Pelodiscus sinensis: one gene and its partner. The protein of the gene in region 1 interacts with the protein of each later gene in a pairwise test. Links are inferred from orthologs where the notes say so. Each region holds a gene or a part of one and is shown in the gene's direction. Other genes may lie near its edges.

Region 1 (7,171 bases):
AAAGCCCATCCAGAAACATGAGCCCTCCTGTCTTCCAAAAGGCAACTTGATTCGGTCAGCCCCACACCACTCACAAAACTGCTGGGGTTTGCATGACAGCATTTCAGGAAATGTGTCACATTTGCCCTGGTACATCCTTCAATTAGCGAGCAACACAAAGCATCCATGTAGGCACCCGTAGGAGCTGTGACCCAGCTAACAAGCCCAAGCAGAAGCACCAGTATCATCCCCTCCAGCAGTTGCCCTTTTCAGACCCTGCCTCCCAGCAGGCGCCACCCACAGAAAAAAGGCTTCAGGCCATCAACACCTGCCTTAACAGGAGCTTGCCAGTAAAAAGGTGAGGGCAAGATGGGACCTGGAACGCTTCAGCTGCCCCCAAACCCAGGGAGTAGTAAGTGATGCCCCCCCACTCTCAACAGGTGCCATAGAGGAACTGCCCCTTTAGAACCATCCCCCTCCTCACAGTCTTTCCAGCGGAGGCCACAGCGCCTTACATAACTCATGAGTGCTCCCCCCCCACTTTTCCCACCCTGGAGCTATGGTTCTGTGGTGCACTCAGCCCCAGACGGCTGGGGAAAGAACCAGTCTGCTGTACCCAGTGCAACAGGCATCCCTGCCTTTCACCGGTGCCGCATTACCCACCCCTCACACCCATATCGCAACAGGGCCGTCCCTTGACCCGGGCTAGCCAAGGAGACAGAAGCTCTCTGGCAGGCCCACCGCCTCCACACTCATTTCAATTTGGCACTGCCAGGCAGGGACCGACCACAGCCTGACACCTCTGGGCCACAGGCTCGTGGCTCCCAGCCGGAGGCAGGGAAGCAGCGAGAGAAGGGGCCAGTACACTGTGGGGCACATGAACCCACAGAGCCCAGCCCCAGCAGTGGGAGGGCCCCGCTCCCCCCTAGACCTTGGCTGACTGCGAGCTGGGTCCAGCACGACAAGCCCCGCACAGCCCACTAAGGGGGTGTGTGTCACAAGCCGAGTCCAGTTTCCCCACAAATGGTCCCCAGCCAGTGCTCACCTAGCCACCCCCCAGCCTTGGCACCCCCCTCACCGGAAGCCTCTCACCCCCACCTCCCCCCTTCCCCAGCCCCCCTCCCCAGGCCCCTCTCACTCCCCTACCCCCCTTCCCCAGCCCCCATCCTCCCCGGGCCCCTCTCACCCCTGCCCCCCCTCCCCAGGCTCCTCTCACCCCCCGGCCCCTCTCACCCCCCCCAGCCCCCCTCCTCCCCGGGCCCCTCTCACCCTCCTGCCCCCCCTCCCCGGGCCCCTCTCACCCCCCAGCCCCTCCTCCCCCTGCCCCCCCACCCCCCCAGCCCCCCTCCTCCCCGGGCCCCTCTCGCCCCCCCAGCCCCCCTCCTCCCCGGGCCCCTCTCACCCCCCCTGCCCCTCTCACCCCCCCAACCCCCCTCCTCCCCGGGCCCCTCTCACCCTCCTGCCCCCCCTCCCCGGGCCCCTCTCACCCCCCTGCCCCTCCTCCCCCGGGCCCCTCTCACCCCCCCAGCCCCCCTCCTCCCCGGGCCCCTCTCACCCTCCTGCCCCCCCTCCCCGGGCCCCTCTCACCCCCCCAGCCCCCCCTCCTCCCCGGGCCCCTCTCACCCCCCCTGCCCCTCCTCCCCCAGCCCCCCTCCTCCCCGGGCCCCTCTCACCCCCCCAGCCCCCCTCCTCCCTGGGCTCCTCTCACCCCCCCTGCCCCTCTCACCCCCCTGCCCCCCTCCTCCCCGGGCTCCTCTCACCCCCCTGCCCCTCTCACCCCCCCAGCCCCCCTTCCTCCCCGGGCCCCCCTCACCCCCCCAGCCCCCCTCCTCCCCGGGCCCCTCTCACCCCCCCAGCCCCCCTCCTCCCCGGGCCCCTCTCACCCCCCTGCCCCCCTCCTCCCCGGGCCCCTCTCACCCCCCTGCCCCTCTCACCCCCCCAGCCCCCCTTCCTCCCCGGGCCCCTCTCACCCCCTGCCCCCCTCCTCCCCGGGCCCCTCTCACCCCCCTGCCCCTCTCACCCCCCCAGCCCCCCCTCCTCCCCCTGCCCCTCTCACCCCCCCAGCCCCTCTCACCCCCCTCCTCCCCGGGCCCCTCTCACCCCTCCAGCCCCCTCTCACCCCACTGCCCCCCCTTCCCCAACCCCCGCCCCAGCGGCACCTGGCTGGCGCCCCCAGCAGCAGACCCCACGCCCGGGGCCTCTTCCGCGAGCAGCGCCCCCAGCACCCACCTGGCCTGTGGCCTCCGGGATCAGCTGCTGTAGCCCCGCCCCCAGCTCTCATTGGCTCCGCGGCGCGGGGAAGGCCGTCGCTACTGGCTGGCTGCAGCGCCCGTCCCGCCTGGATCGGCCTTTGCCCGGCGCCTTCTTAAAGGGGCCGCGGCGCGGGGCTGGGGGAGGGACCTGCATGGCCATAGAGAAGGACAGCCAGCGGGTCCCAGCATGCACCGCTGCATCCCTGCTCTCAGCATGCACCGCTGCACCCCAACTCTGGGACCTGGTAAGTCCCAGCATGCACCACTGCATCCCTGCTCTCAGCATGCACCGCTGCACCCCAACTCTGGGACCTGCTAAGTCCCAGCATGCACCGCTGCATCCCTGCTCTCAGCATGCACTGCTGCACCCCAACTCTGGGACCTGCTAAGTCCCAGCATGCACCACTGCATCCCTGCTCTCAGCATGCATCTCTGCACCCCAACTCTGGGACCTGCTAAGTCCCAGCATGCACCGCTGCATCCCTGCTCTCAGCATGCACCGCTGCACCCCAACTCTGGGACCTGCTAAGTCCCAGCATGCACCACTGCATCCCTGCTCTCAGCATGCATCTCTGCACCCCAACTCTGGGACCTGCTAAGTCCCAGCATGCACCACTGCATCCCTGCTCTCAGCATGCACCGCTGCACCCCAACTCTGGGACCTGCTAAGTCCCAGCATGCACCGCTGCATCCCTGCTCTCAGCATGCACCGCTGCACCCCAACTCTGGGACCTGCTAAGTCCCAGCATGCACCACTGCATCCCTGCTCTCAGCATGCACTGCTGCACCCCAACTCTGGGACCTGCTAAGTCCCAGCATGCACCACTGCATCCCTGCTCTCAGCATGCACCGCTGCACCCCAACTCTGGGGCATGCCTGGTCCCAGCATGCACTGGTGCATCTCAGCTCTGGGAAGCTCCCAACATTCACCACTACCCCCCGCCAGCCTTGGCAACGTGACAGGCTCCAGCATGTACAGAGCTCTGATCCAAGGTGGCAGCCACCCTACTGGGATGGCAGAGCCCATCAGTGCATGTGCCGCTTGACACGGCAGCCTGGACGCTGTATGTTTAACTGGATAACCAGCCCGTCCTATTGTATTATGAGTGGGGAGCTGCTCCAGCCAGGTGGGGCTGGAGTTCCCCCAACCCATGTTGCACTGTGGTGGGCCTGGCTTGACCACAGCAGTCCCCTGCCAGAAGCATAGCAAAGAGAAGGGGCCATTCTGACTGGGCTGGGGCGGGGGGCGAATAAACAATTACTCATTTACATCCCTATTTAATACTCATTTAACAAACAGAAGAGCAACACAGACATTTGAGATTTTAACAAAATAAGTATCAGAAGGGTAGCCGTGTTAGTCTGAATCTGCAAAAGCGGCAAGGAGTCCTGTGGCACCTTATAGACTAACCGAAGCGTGGGAGCATAAGGTTTCGTGGGCAAAGACCCACTTCGTCATCTGAAGTGGGTCTTTGCCCACGAAACCTTATGCTCCCACGCTTCGGTTAGTCTATAAGGTGCCACAGGACTCCTTGCCTCTTTAACAGAATAAGATCACTGCCCCACCAGGATGTGCTGATTAATTCTTCATTATTCATATCGCTTTCCTGCACACACACAGGTGCAACATTCAGTGTAAGTTTACTGATTTACCTCTAAGTTACATTTCAACCAGGAACTTGCAGTATTTTTTCTATAAGAAAGGAAATGCGAATTTTTCCTACAGCAAAAGTTCACCCATTTGTACAAGGTCACCAGATCATCACCTTGCGATGTTTTTTCCAGGTCACTGGACCACTGGTTAATATTTACTTATGCATCTATACATGGTAATGGTTCGTATGGATATTGTTTATATAAAAAGGCACCTCACTGAACATGGGCAGGACTTCACCTTGCTTTCTCTTCTCTATTATCTGTAGGAGTCATGCACATTTTTTAAATGACACCGTCCATATCAAAAATACGAGGAGACATTTTGAACCTATTAAAAAATCCATTCAAAAGGCCTTGCAAAACTACCTAGAGATCTTGTGATGGGGTGGTACCAACCCTGTACTGGGGCTGCGAGATTTAACCCAGTCTACCTGGCTGAAGAGACCCCACTCCAGCTCTGCTCCAGCTAGAGACCAGGTGTAAGGGCCTGTGGAGCAGCTCAGTCTGGATTGACAGCCCTCAAGGAAGGAGGTGCTGCTGGAGTCCCCAAGGAGGAACCACAGATGGAGCAAGACATGGAGGCCAGCCAGTGGGGAATGCAGGAAAAAGCCTCCAGTCTGGAGAGAAGAGCTGGGGAAGACTGCAATGGAGAGACTGGTAGGAAGTAGCCCATGGAGAGGAGTTTCAGTGGGATTTCTCGCCGAGCTAGTGGTGGACCACTCCACTGCTGACAAGACCCTGGGCTGGGATCTGGTGGAAAGGGTGGGCCTGGGTCTCCCCACCATCCTCAACAGCAGAGCTATACCCCACTGCTATTGACTCTAACGGCTAGGCCACACTGCACTGGGCATTGTTAGAGACGCTGGGCTGGATGTGGTTTGGTCCTGGATACGTCCCGGATGAGCTGCAGTTGTAAGAAGGGGAGGCATAGCACCCTCCTCCTTAAACTGGTATGCACGTGGGGTTGAGCACCATTTGAGGGGTCTCAGAGACATTATGCCCACCCCCTGAAGGGAGATGGGTGTGCTGCCCCGATGACAGATGTATAACTTTTTAAAACTGAAGTTCTTTTTATGATTGTCAGGCCAGTAGCAAAAGAGGATGAAGACTTCTTTCCTTCTTATGGTCTGCTGCAGGGGGGCACTTACTCCCCAAATCACCTATTAAACAGTCTTCTTCCCCTCCCCACCACCACCCCTGAGGTACCTCAGAATTTCACATTTGATTCCAGGCAGGACTCTGACCTTTCCAGCTTTCCCATTCTTTTGTGTGAAACGGATGAAAATGTCTATTACTTTTAGTTCTTGGATTTATAGTATTAAGGGAAAAGAGGGCTAAAGGAGGCCTTGTTTTTTAGAAAATCTGGAAGACAAGTGGAAAAAGGCAGCATTTCAGCTGGTCTGACTCTCTGTGCTGGCAACATGTCTGCTTGTCTGATTTATAAGCAACTTTGAGGATTATTGTAAACTGAGAAAAAAGTGAAGCAATCATTTTCTTGAAAAAGCCTCAACTCTAGTATTTTTCTTCTGAGAAATTACTCTCTGAGACCTGGGGAACTTTTGTCTTGGTGATTTGTGCTGGGAAAGAAGCTTGAAGTTGGACCAGCCTGTGCACTGGACCTTCTACAAAGTAGGAAAGAGCTGCTTTGATTTTAGTCCAGTCTACTAGGCTCATCCTGTACTCTAGTCAGCCAATCTGTCTTTGATTTAGCTATATACATGTATGTTCGACTCCCAGAGAACTTCATAAAGATTTTTCTGCCCATGTTGTTACCCCAGAGCCCTTTTGGTAACATTAATCCTCTTCCCCTACAGGCTTATCCCTGAAGAAATTTATTGCTAGGGGGATGGGAGTGCTTATATTATCCGTATAGCTAAGGGGTCACATGAATTTGAATGGTTACCCACTGGGCCACATGAAAGGGAGCTGTAGGGGCTCCTCTCAGAGTCCCGGAGGGGGAGCTCCCCTTGGAACACTGAGGGCGAGCTGTGAAGGGGCTCCCCTCATACAGACTCCAAGGGGGAGGGAGAACTGTAGGGGTCCCCTTGGAACACTAAGGGGAGCTGTGGAAGGGCTCCTCTATACACTCCCTGAGGGGGAAAGGGAGCAGTAGGAGTCCCCTTGGGTCACAGGGTGAAGGGGAGCTGTGTGGGTTCCCATTGGAGCACTGAGGAGGAACTATGGGGGGCTCCCTTCATACAGTGCTTGAGAGGGAGGGAAAGCTGTGGGGGTCCCCTTGCCCCTTGGAACACTAGGGGGAATTGTGGGGGGCTCCCCTCATACGGATCCTGAGGAGGAGCTGTGGGAGGAGCCCTTGAACACTAAGGGGAGCTGTGGGGGGCTCCCCTCATACAGCCCCTGAGGAGCAGGGGGAGCTGTGGGGGGCTCCTTGAACACTAGGGGGAGGTGTGGGGGGCTCCCCTCATACAGCCCCTGAGGAGCAGGGGGAGCTGTGGGGGGCTCCTTGAACACTAGGGGGAGGTGTGGGGGGCTCCCCCATACAGCCCCTGAGAGGAAGGAGGAGCTGTGGGGGGGCCCTTGAACACTAGGGGGAGCTGTGGGGGGCTCCCCATACAGCCCCTGAGGGGAAGGAGGAGCTGTGAGGGCCCCCTTGACCACTAGGGGGAGCTGTGGGGTCTCCCCCATACAGCCCCTGAGGGGAAGGAGGAGCTGTGGGAGGGGAGTGCCCTTGACCACTAGGGGGCGCTGTGGGGTCTCCCCCATACAGCCCCTGAGTGGGAGGAGCTGTGGGAGGGGAGTGCCCTTGACCACTAGGGGGCGCTGTGGGGTCTCCCCCCTACAGCCCCTGAGGGGAAGGAGGAGCTGTGGGAGGGGAGGGCCCTTGACCACTAGGGGGCGCTGTGGGGTCTCCCCCATACAGCCCCTGAGTGGGAGGAGCTGTGGGAGGGGAGTGCCCTTGACCACTAGGGGGCGCTGTGGGGTCTCCCCCCTACAGCCCCTGAGGGGAAGGAGGAGCTGTGGGAGGGGAGGGCCCTTGACCACTAGGGGGCGCTGTGGGGAGGGGAAGGGATTTCTAGCTGCACCTCACGCACACGTACGTCCTGACGCAAAGGTCACGCCGCGCGCGTGACCCCTCATCCCGGAAGCGAGCCACTAGCCCGAGGCCCCCCACGAGCCGCCGCTGCTCCTGCTCCGCCGCGGCCGGTCCCGCCCCCTCCTGGCCTGGGCGCCGCTTCCGTCATGTGAAGGCGGCGGCCCCGGGGCAGCGGCCCGTCCAGGTGCGCGGCCTCGGGCTGGGGAGTCGGGGGGGGGAGGTTCCCAGG
Region 2 (7,833 bases), on another chromosome or scaffold:
AGGGCTCAGGAGCCACTACTGTGGCAGGACAAGTCCACCGAATCTACCCATTATATTGGGCACTGACTTTGATGGTAGGCCCAAGGTGTCCAAAATGACGACAGCATAGGCACTTTCCACTGCAGGGATCAAGTTGTTAGCAGTGCTGCAGAAGCTTCCTACTGGTGATTCCAGGAACGGTATTGGGAATGGGGGCAAGAACGGGAATGGTACCAGCCGCTGCATGATGCAAAGGACTGCGCTTCCAACTCCAAGGTATACTTGACCATGCTGAACAGTGCTGAGGAGTGGCACCAAAGGGATGGAGAGTGCTGCTGCTGCAGAGTCGGTTTTCCTTGGTACCATATGATAACTGGTGCCGGCTTGAGGCTCCGAGGCTATGGTGCCAGGGTGACTGCTGCATGACGTATGGGGCCAGGGCTGGGGCAGAGCACATTGGCCTATGGTCAGTGCCAGGTTCAGTGCCGAGGCACGGACTGCATCAAAGTCTGTGCTGCAGGCTCCATCATTTCACAAGGTCAGAAAGTGTCCTCAGAAGTGTCCAGTGTATAAGGGAGGTCCAGGTCCTCCTTGTGGACTTCCCACCCAGTGGAGTCCAACAACACTGGACTCAATGGCCCTGCCCTTGGGTCCAGAGTTGGCAATGCTGGCTGCACTGTACTGTCCTGAGATTGCTCCAGGCTGGGGCACACTGACAGAGGGTGACTACTGGTCTTCTTGTCCAGAGACTGGCTTCTGCTAGGCCTTGTCTTCTCATACAGCACCGGAGATGGACAGTGCTGAGGAGCAGAGGAGCTTGTCTTGTGTGCAAGGGAATGGGTGCCAGTGCTCTTTTGGGTCTTCCTTACGAAGTGCCAATGTGTCCCATATTGAAGCTGGTGCACTGTACATGGAGGCCAGCATGCTACACACCAAATATGACAACATCGGGTCCAGCACTGGGGGTCGAACTGCCGTCTCCACTAACAAGAGTTTGAAGTGCTGATCTCACTTTCTCTTAGTTTTAGGCATGAAACTGTGGCAGATATTACACTAGTCTGTTAAGTATTCTTCACCAAAACACCTGAGGCAATGCAATGTGCAGGCAGATCCCTTTTAGGCATAGGCTTGCTACAAGTGATGCAGTTCTTAAACACCCCTGCTGCATACTGGGAAGCGGGGGAGGGAGAGAGGAAAAAGAAACATAAATGAACAAAAAGTGGAAGGGGACCCCCACAGAAACTATAAACCAATGGCAGATGCCCCAGAGGGAGAGAACACAACAGGTAATCATCACATGATCCCTCTCCTGTAAGCCATTTCCAGACAAACAGAGGCAAGGGACACCATTCCTACCCATACTGGCTAATAGCCATTTATGGACCTAACCTCCATGAACTTATCTAGCTCTTTTTTAAACCCCGTTAAAGTCCTAGTCTTCACCACATCCTCTGGCAAGTAGTTCCACAGGTTGACTATGCGCTGCACGAAGAAAAACTTCCTTTTATTTTAAGCCTGCTGCCTATTAATTTCATTTGGTGACCCCTAGTTCTTATATTATGCGAACTAGTTACAGTAAAACTCCATTGGTCCATCATCCAATGCTCCAGTACTCCTGATGGCGCAGCACCATCAGGAACCCGGAAGTGCTGGGGCAGCTGGACAATTGGAGCTGCTCTGCGCCTGGCTTCCCCGATTCAGCCGCTGCTGAAACTGACCAGCAGCTGAATCGGGGAAGCCGGGGGCAGAGCAGCTGGGGTGCTGCTGGGTTGGTCCGGTGGCACCGCCCCTCGGGGCTGTGGGACCAACCTGGCAGCACCCCAGCTGCTCTTGGGGATTCCTGGAGCAGAGCAGCCAGAATGCTGCCAGGTTGGTCCCCCAGTGCTGAGGGGCGGCGCTACAGGACCAACCCGGCAACATCTCAACTGCTCTGCCCCAGGCGCCCCGATTCAGCCACTGCTGGAGTCAGCCGCTGATCAGTTTCAGCAGCGGCTGACTTGGGGACGCCTGGGGCAGAGCAGCTGGGGTGCTGCCAGGTTGGTCCCATAGTGCCAAGGGGAGGTGCTACCGGACCAACCTGGCAGCACCCCAGCTGCTCTGCCGCAGGCGTCCCCAAGAGCAGCTGGGGTGCTGCTGGGTTGGTCTCGCAGCGCCGAGGGGCGGTGCCACCAGAACGATCCAGCAGCACCCCAGCTGCTCTGCCGCAGGCGTCCCCGATTCAGCCGCTGCTGAAACTGACCAGCAACGGCTGAATCGGAGACGCCTGGGGCAAAGCCAGACTATTGGAAGGGGGGCTATGAGGGGTCTGAGGTGGCGTCTCCCCCACTGCACCCCAGTCCCCTCATAGCCCCCCTTCTAATAGTCCGGCATATTTGATAATCCGGCACCCCTTGGGTCCTAAAGGTGCCGTATTATTGGAAGTTTACTGTAATAACTTTTCCCTATTCACTTTTTCCACACCAGACATGATTTTATAGACCTCTATCATATCCTCCTCTTAGTCTCCTCTTTTCTAAGCTGAAAAGTCCAAGTCTTTTTAATCTTTCTTCATACGGAGCCCGTTCCAAACCCCTAATCATTTTTGTTGATAGAGGGCCAGCTTTACAAGCACCATTTTAGGGGGCTCCGCAGCTAGCCCGTTGGGTACCACTATAGAAAAAAAAGCCTTCCAATCATCATGAATGCAGTGTGCACATGCCTATTGAAATGCATGTGAATGATCACTTGAAGAAGAACTGTATCCACTCCATGTAGTGAATCATCACAAACCAACTGCAATGGTAGCAAAGCATCAACATGCAAAAAAACTTCATCTGATGTCATCTTCTTTGCTTGTTAAAGATACATTACTTATTTGTCCCAAATTCTTTTTCAAATCTTTGAAATGCCTGCTTCTCTAGTATTTTTTTTTTAATTCCATGGTGCTTTTTTGATCATCTTCACCTTGATCTCTGTTCACTTTAAGCCAAAATCTGTCACAAAATAGTGGACACTTTTCTTCAAATTCATACAAGGGTTAAACCTCTTATTGTCCATTAAGTTGAACTTTTACCTGGAGTATCCCTTAGAAAAGTTAGTTCCAAGATGGTAAGTCTTCAAAACTATGGAAATTTCTCCCAAAGGAACCCAATGTCTGGTAATAGGTGTATATGGAAATTCAGTGAGATGGCAGCTCCAATATCAAGCTCCATTCTTGTAGGAATTCTCTTCACCAAGGGTGTGACCCAGATTCCCTTTCTGACTCCTGGTAACACATGCAGTAGTAGGGTCTTGGTCATTATCACTAGAGTTCTTATCTTCACATTATGAATTCCTGATTTCATAGGTTCAGTCTTTCCTAGGCTCAGTCTTCTTGGCTGTGTCCAGACTCCATGCCTCCGTCGACGGAGGCATGTAGATTAGCCAGATCGGAAGAGGGAAATGAAGCCGCGATTAAAATAATCGCGGCTTCATTTAAATTTAAATGGCTGCCCCGATCTGCCGATCAGCTGTTTGTCGGCAGATCGGGAGAGTCTGGACGCGATGCCCCGACAAAGAAGCCTTTCTTCATCGACACAGGTAAGCCTCGTGAAACCAGGTTTACCTGTGTCGATGAAGAAAGGCTTCTTTGTCGGGGCATCGCGTCCAGACTCTCCCGATCTGCCGACAAACAGCTGATCGGCAGATCGGGGCAGCCATTTAAATTTAAATGAAGCCGCGATTATTTTAATCGCGGCTTCATTTCCCTCTTCCGATCTGGCTAATCTACATGCCTCCGTCGACGGAGGCATGGAGTCTGGACACAGCCCATAGGTGTATTCTTGGATGTGTAGTTATTTTGTGCTGGTGTTCACTGAACTGTGCAACAGGTCACAGTGATGTATCCTTTCTTCTGGCACTTTTTGCCAATGACCTGGTGTGGCCTGCAATTCTCGTCAGCATGTGTAATTTATGTACAGTGGCCACATGGAAATTCCTTTCATTCCCAATTCAGGAAGTGAACTTCTTAGTGCACACTGATTATCAGACTCCTTTTCCTGGTTTCCATAGCAATAGCCAATTTAGCCTTTTTGAATGTAAGTACTTATACTGGTCATTTCATAATCCAGAGACAAATTGGTCAGACAGGACATCACTTAATTTTTTTTCAAGCTGTCAGTACTCTGACAACTTCCATGGAGCTGTCATAAACTGTGCTACTCACTTTCCACTTCCCTGGTGTTGCCGAAGTAACCAATATCATTCTGCTGTCATCAGTGAGGTAGGCGAGAGATGTTCCTGCATTGCTGCAATAATTGATGCATATGTAACATTTGGGGGAAATGGGTCATGCAGCATCCTGTATGCCTTCAGGCCCATCCCTACCCCACCATAGGCAAAGTTGGCAGCATGTGCGGAGCTGTGTGTGGTGGCCTTACCAATCAAAGGATGGGGTGAGGTAAGGGAGCAGTATGGTGGTTCGAGCCAGGTGTTAGGGTGGCTGTGTATGGTGAGGCAGCTAGGTGCTGTGTGCATTGTGTGTGGTGGGTTGGGGTGGATACAGGAACAGGTGCTGTGGGGGAGCAGCGTGCTGGGTTTGGTGGATGTTGGGAAGAGAGCTGAGTGTGGCGGATTGAGGCGGGTGCTGCAGGGAGGGGGTTGTGCATGATGAGCTGGGTGGATCGTGTGTGTGTGTGTGTGTGTGTGTGTGTGTGTGTGTGTGTGTGTGTGTGTGTGTGTGTGTGTGTGTGTGTGAGATGAGTTAGGGCAGGTGCTGCAGAGGCTGTATGTGATGGGCTGGCAGGGAGGGAGATTGAGGTGGATGTTGCAGGACTGGGAGGTCTGTGGCAGATGCTGGGATAGATGCAGGGGTGCAATGTGAGGATAGTTGGGGTGGGGGCTGAACGTGGTGGACTGGGGCAGCTGAGTGTGGTGGGCTGGGGACTGGAGGGCTGAGCGTGATGCGCTGGGGCCGGTGCTGAGGGGCTGGAGGGGGGTTGGGCTGAGAGTGTTGGGCTGGGCCCGGTGCTGAGGGGCTGGGCACTGGGGAGGGGGGCTGCGTGTGAGGGACGGGGACAGGTGCTGGGGCAGGGGCGGGAGTAAAACCTGCTGGCCCATTGTGACGCGGCGCGGCGGTCACTGTGCTGCGGCGCCGCGGGGCAGGAGCGGGGCAGCGCGGGGCCATGCAGCGGCGGCGGCGGCGAGGGCCGGGGCGGTGTCCAGGGGCCGAGGGCGGCTGGCGCTTGCCCGCGGGCACCTCCCTGGGCGAGCGCGCGTCCACCAGAGGCAGCAGGAAGCGGCCCGCGCCCCGCGGCTGCTCCCCGCGCGCTGAGCCGGGCTGCCCCGCGCCCCGCCTGGAGATGGCTCGGCCGGGCTCGGGCCGCTTCTCGCCGCCGCGCTACCTGGATCCGTACGGCTCGGAGCCGGAGACTGCGGGCGGGGAAGGGGGCTGCAGCCTGGCCCCGGCCCACGGCCTGAGGAAGGGGCAGAGGAGCGAGGTCCCCTCCCAGTCCCGCCGCCCCTCCTCCTGGAAGCGACACGTGCCCCCGGCCGGCGAGGGGTACCCGTCCTCCGTGAGCCCCTCCTGCACCAGTCTCTACCGGGGGGACTGCTGGGAGCACCCCGACAGCCGCCGCTTGGGCCAGGGCAGCCGGCTGCAGGAGGATCAGTGGGCCAGCCCTGTGCAGAAGACCCGGGGGTATGGCCCAGATTTCAACCGTGAGGCCAGCAAGCCCCTCTCCGCCTGCGCCTCCTCGTCCTCCTGCCAGCTGGAGGCGGCCCCCAGCAAGCCCGGGAAGAAGGCGCCCAAGAGCGGGGGATGGCAGGACGCGTCCGAAAGCAGCCCAAGCCTGAGTGACCTGATATACTCCTTTGCCAGACAGGAAGAAGATGAAGACGAAGAGGATACCCAGGCTGAAAACCATTACCACAACCGCAGCGGCCACCATCCATCGAGGTCAAGACGGAGGGAGCCCCAGGTCAGCCTCCACGATCTCACTGATAAGAGATATGAGGACTTAATCCCTAAAAGGGACCGAAAGATCGCAGCTCTGATGCTGGCCAGGCATCGGGATGATCAGGAGCTAAAAGAAAGGCAGCTGCAAACGTCTGAGACCTGGGATAAGATGAGAAGGCGGGAAAAGAAGCTCAAATCAAGACTGGAGAAAGAAAGGCAGCACCATCTTGCTGAAAGCCTGGAAAAGTGGCAAAAGGACAGAGAGCACCGGAAAGCCAGGGTCAGGCTAGAAGACCAACATCTTTTGAAGGCCCGGGAGAAAGAAATGATGTCACAGCAGAAGAAGTGGGAAAAACTAGCCCAAGAGCAAGAAATGATGCGGAAGGAAAAACTTGAAAGAACTAAACTCCAGGCTGAGTACAGAAAATACTGTCAAGAAAAGCAACTGAAAGAGAAAAGGTTAGCTGAGAAAAGTGCTAAGCAGTACAATTATAATCTATTAAAGGAAAAAATGGCACAAGCCTTTGAAAAAAGACTGTTGAAAGAAATGGAAGGGAAGAAAAGGAGTCAAGATCTGAACCAATATGAAAAAAACAGGCACCTGAAAGCAAAAATGGATCACCAAGTCAAAGCTGATGAGCTTTATAAGAGGCTTTCTATAGAACAAAAGCTTCAAAGATCTCAAGAAATCCTTGATCAGCTGATGGAAGAAAGGAACAATGAATTAAAGGAAAAATCTCTAAGGGATGAAGAACAAGGCCTATTGGCCAAGTTTAGAGCAAAAGAGACAGAGGAAGAAAAAAGAAAGCGTAAAAATATGTTGCTGCAGATAGCGGAGATGAAGATTCAGCAAGCTCAAGAAATGATGTCTAAAAATATCCAAGACAAAGCACAACGTAGCAAGGAAAATAACTATTTAAAAGAAATAAAGCACCAGTTTCGAAAACAAAAAGTTGAAGATGATGAAAAATGTCACCTCCGGGAAATTCAGGAAGCCATCAAAAGGAAAGATGAGAAAAGCAATAGGATTTTAAGGGGTAAGGAAGCTGCTGTGGAAGACTCTAGAAAAATAGCAAGAGCATCTTATGACTTGAGAGAAAAAGTGAGAGAACTGATTAATAGTCATTCGTTTGACTAGATGGCTTTAAGAGTCCATACAGAGCGAGTCTTCTTAAAGGGATCTAGAAACACTTACTTAAAAAGAAAAATTGCAAGCATTCTTGTGCTAAAAAGATAGTTTGCATTCTTACTGTGACTTGCTTAGAATTCTGCACTGTATGACACTAAAATGGTTTCACCCTTAAACTTGGTGTGTCTCATAATACACTGATCATTTTCTGTACGATTATGGCCTAAACAATTTGATAGTGTTTATTTAAAGTGAACACTTTTGCAATTGTATTGTTTGTAAAGTAAAAATATCACCTGGAATCTGTGTTCTCTGAAAGCTGTGTGCTTGAGGGTCTGCTCAGAAGAGATTCCTATACTGCCCAGATGATTAGCAGAATGCCCACAGTTAGGTTTTTTGTTTCTACTCCTGGTGTACAATCGAAAAAGCCTTGGTGCAAATAAAAAAATATTCTGCTCATGTTTTGAAAAAATCTGCATATTGATGGAAAAGGTTAGTGGGAACATTATCTGGAACCTATGTTTAATGAATGTAGAACATAGATCTTGCTGAAATCCTAAAAAAGTCACAAAAGTATTAATACTATCTCACTGCAAGCACACAGTGTGGAACAGACTAAGATACCTGTCTTAGTCTACATTTGTAAAGCATCTTACAGTATTAATGCTATATAAATCCATGATAATAAAAACAGATTTACTGATTCTAAGAAGTGAATAATTCAACATCCGCAAATACTTGGGGTTTTTTCTGCCTTCAGTCACTTACTAAATACCCTGATCACACTATATATTCAAATAATGTATGGATG

Evidence for each region.
Region 2: the proteins of KXD1 (region 1) and CCDC185 interact in a two-hybrid assay, tested with the Homo sapiens proteins (2 studies listed by BioGRID and IntAct). The two-hybrid records come from large-scale screens. The link is inferred for Pelodiscus sinensis from reciprocal best matches to the Homo sapiens genes KXD1 and CCDC185.

Annotation. Positions count from the first base shown.
Region 1 is NC_134729.1:19,764,044-19,771,214, reverse strand, and holds the start of KXD1 (kxDL motif-containing protein 1), read left to right. Parts: upstream 1-4,163; 5' UTR 4,164-4,532; coding exon 4,533-4,544; intron 4,545-6,960; exon of another isoform or gene 6,961-7,126; intron 7,127-7,171.
Region 2 is NC_134713.1:87,632,974-87,640,806, reverse strand, and holds CCDC185 (coiled-coil domain-containing protein 185), read left to right. Parts: upstream 1-5,089; 5' UTR 5,090-5,120; coding exon 5,121-7,031; 3' UTR 7,032-7,324; downstream 7,325-7,833.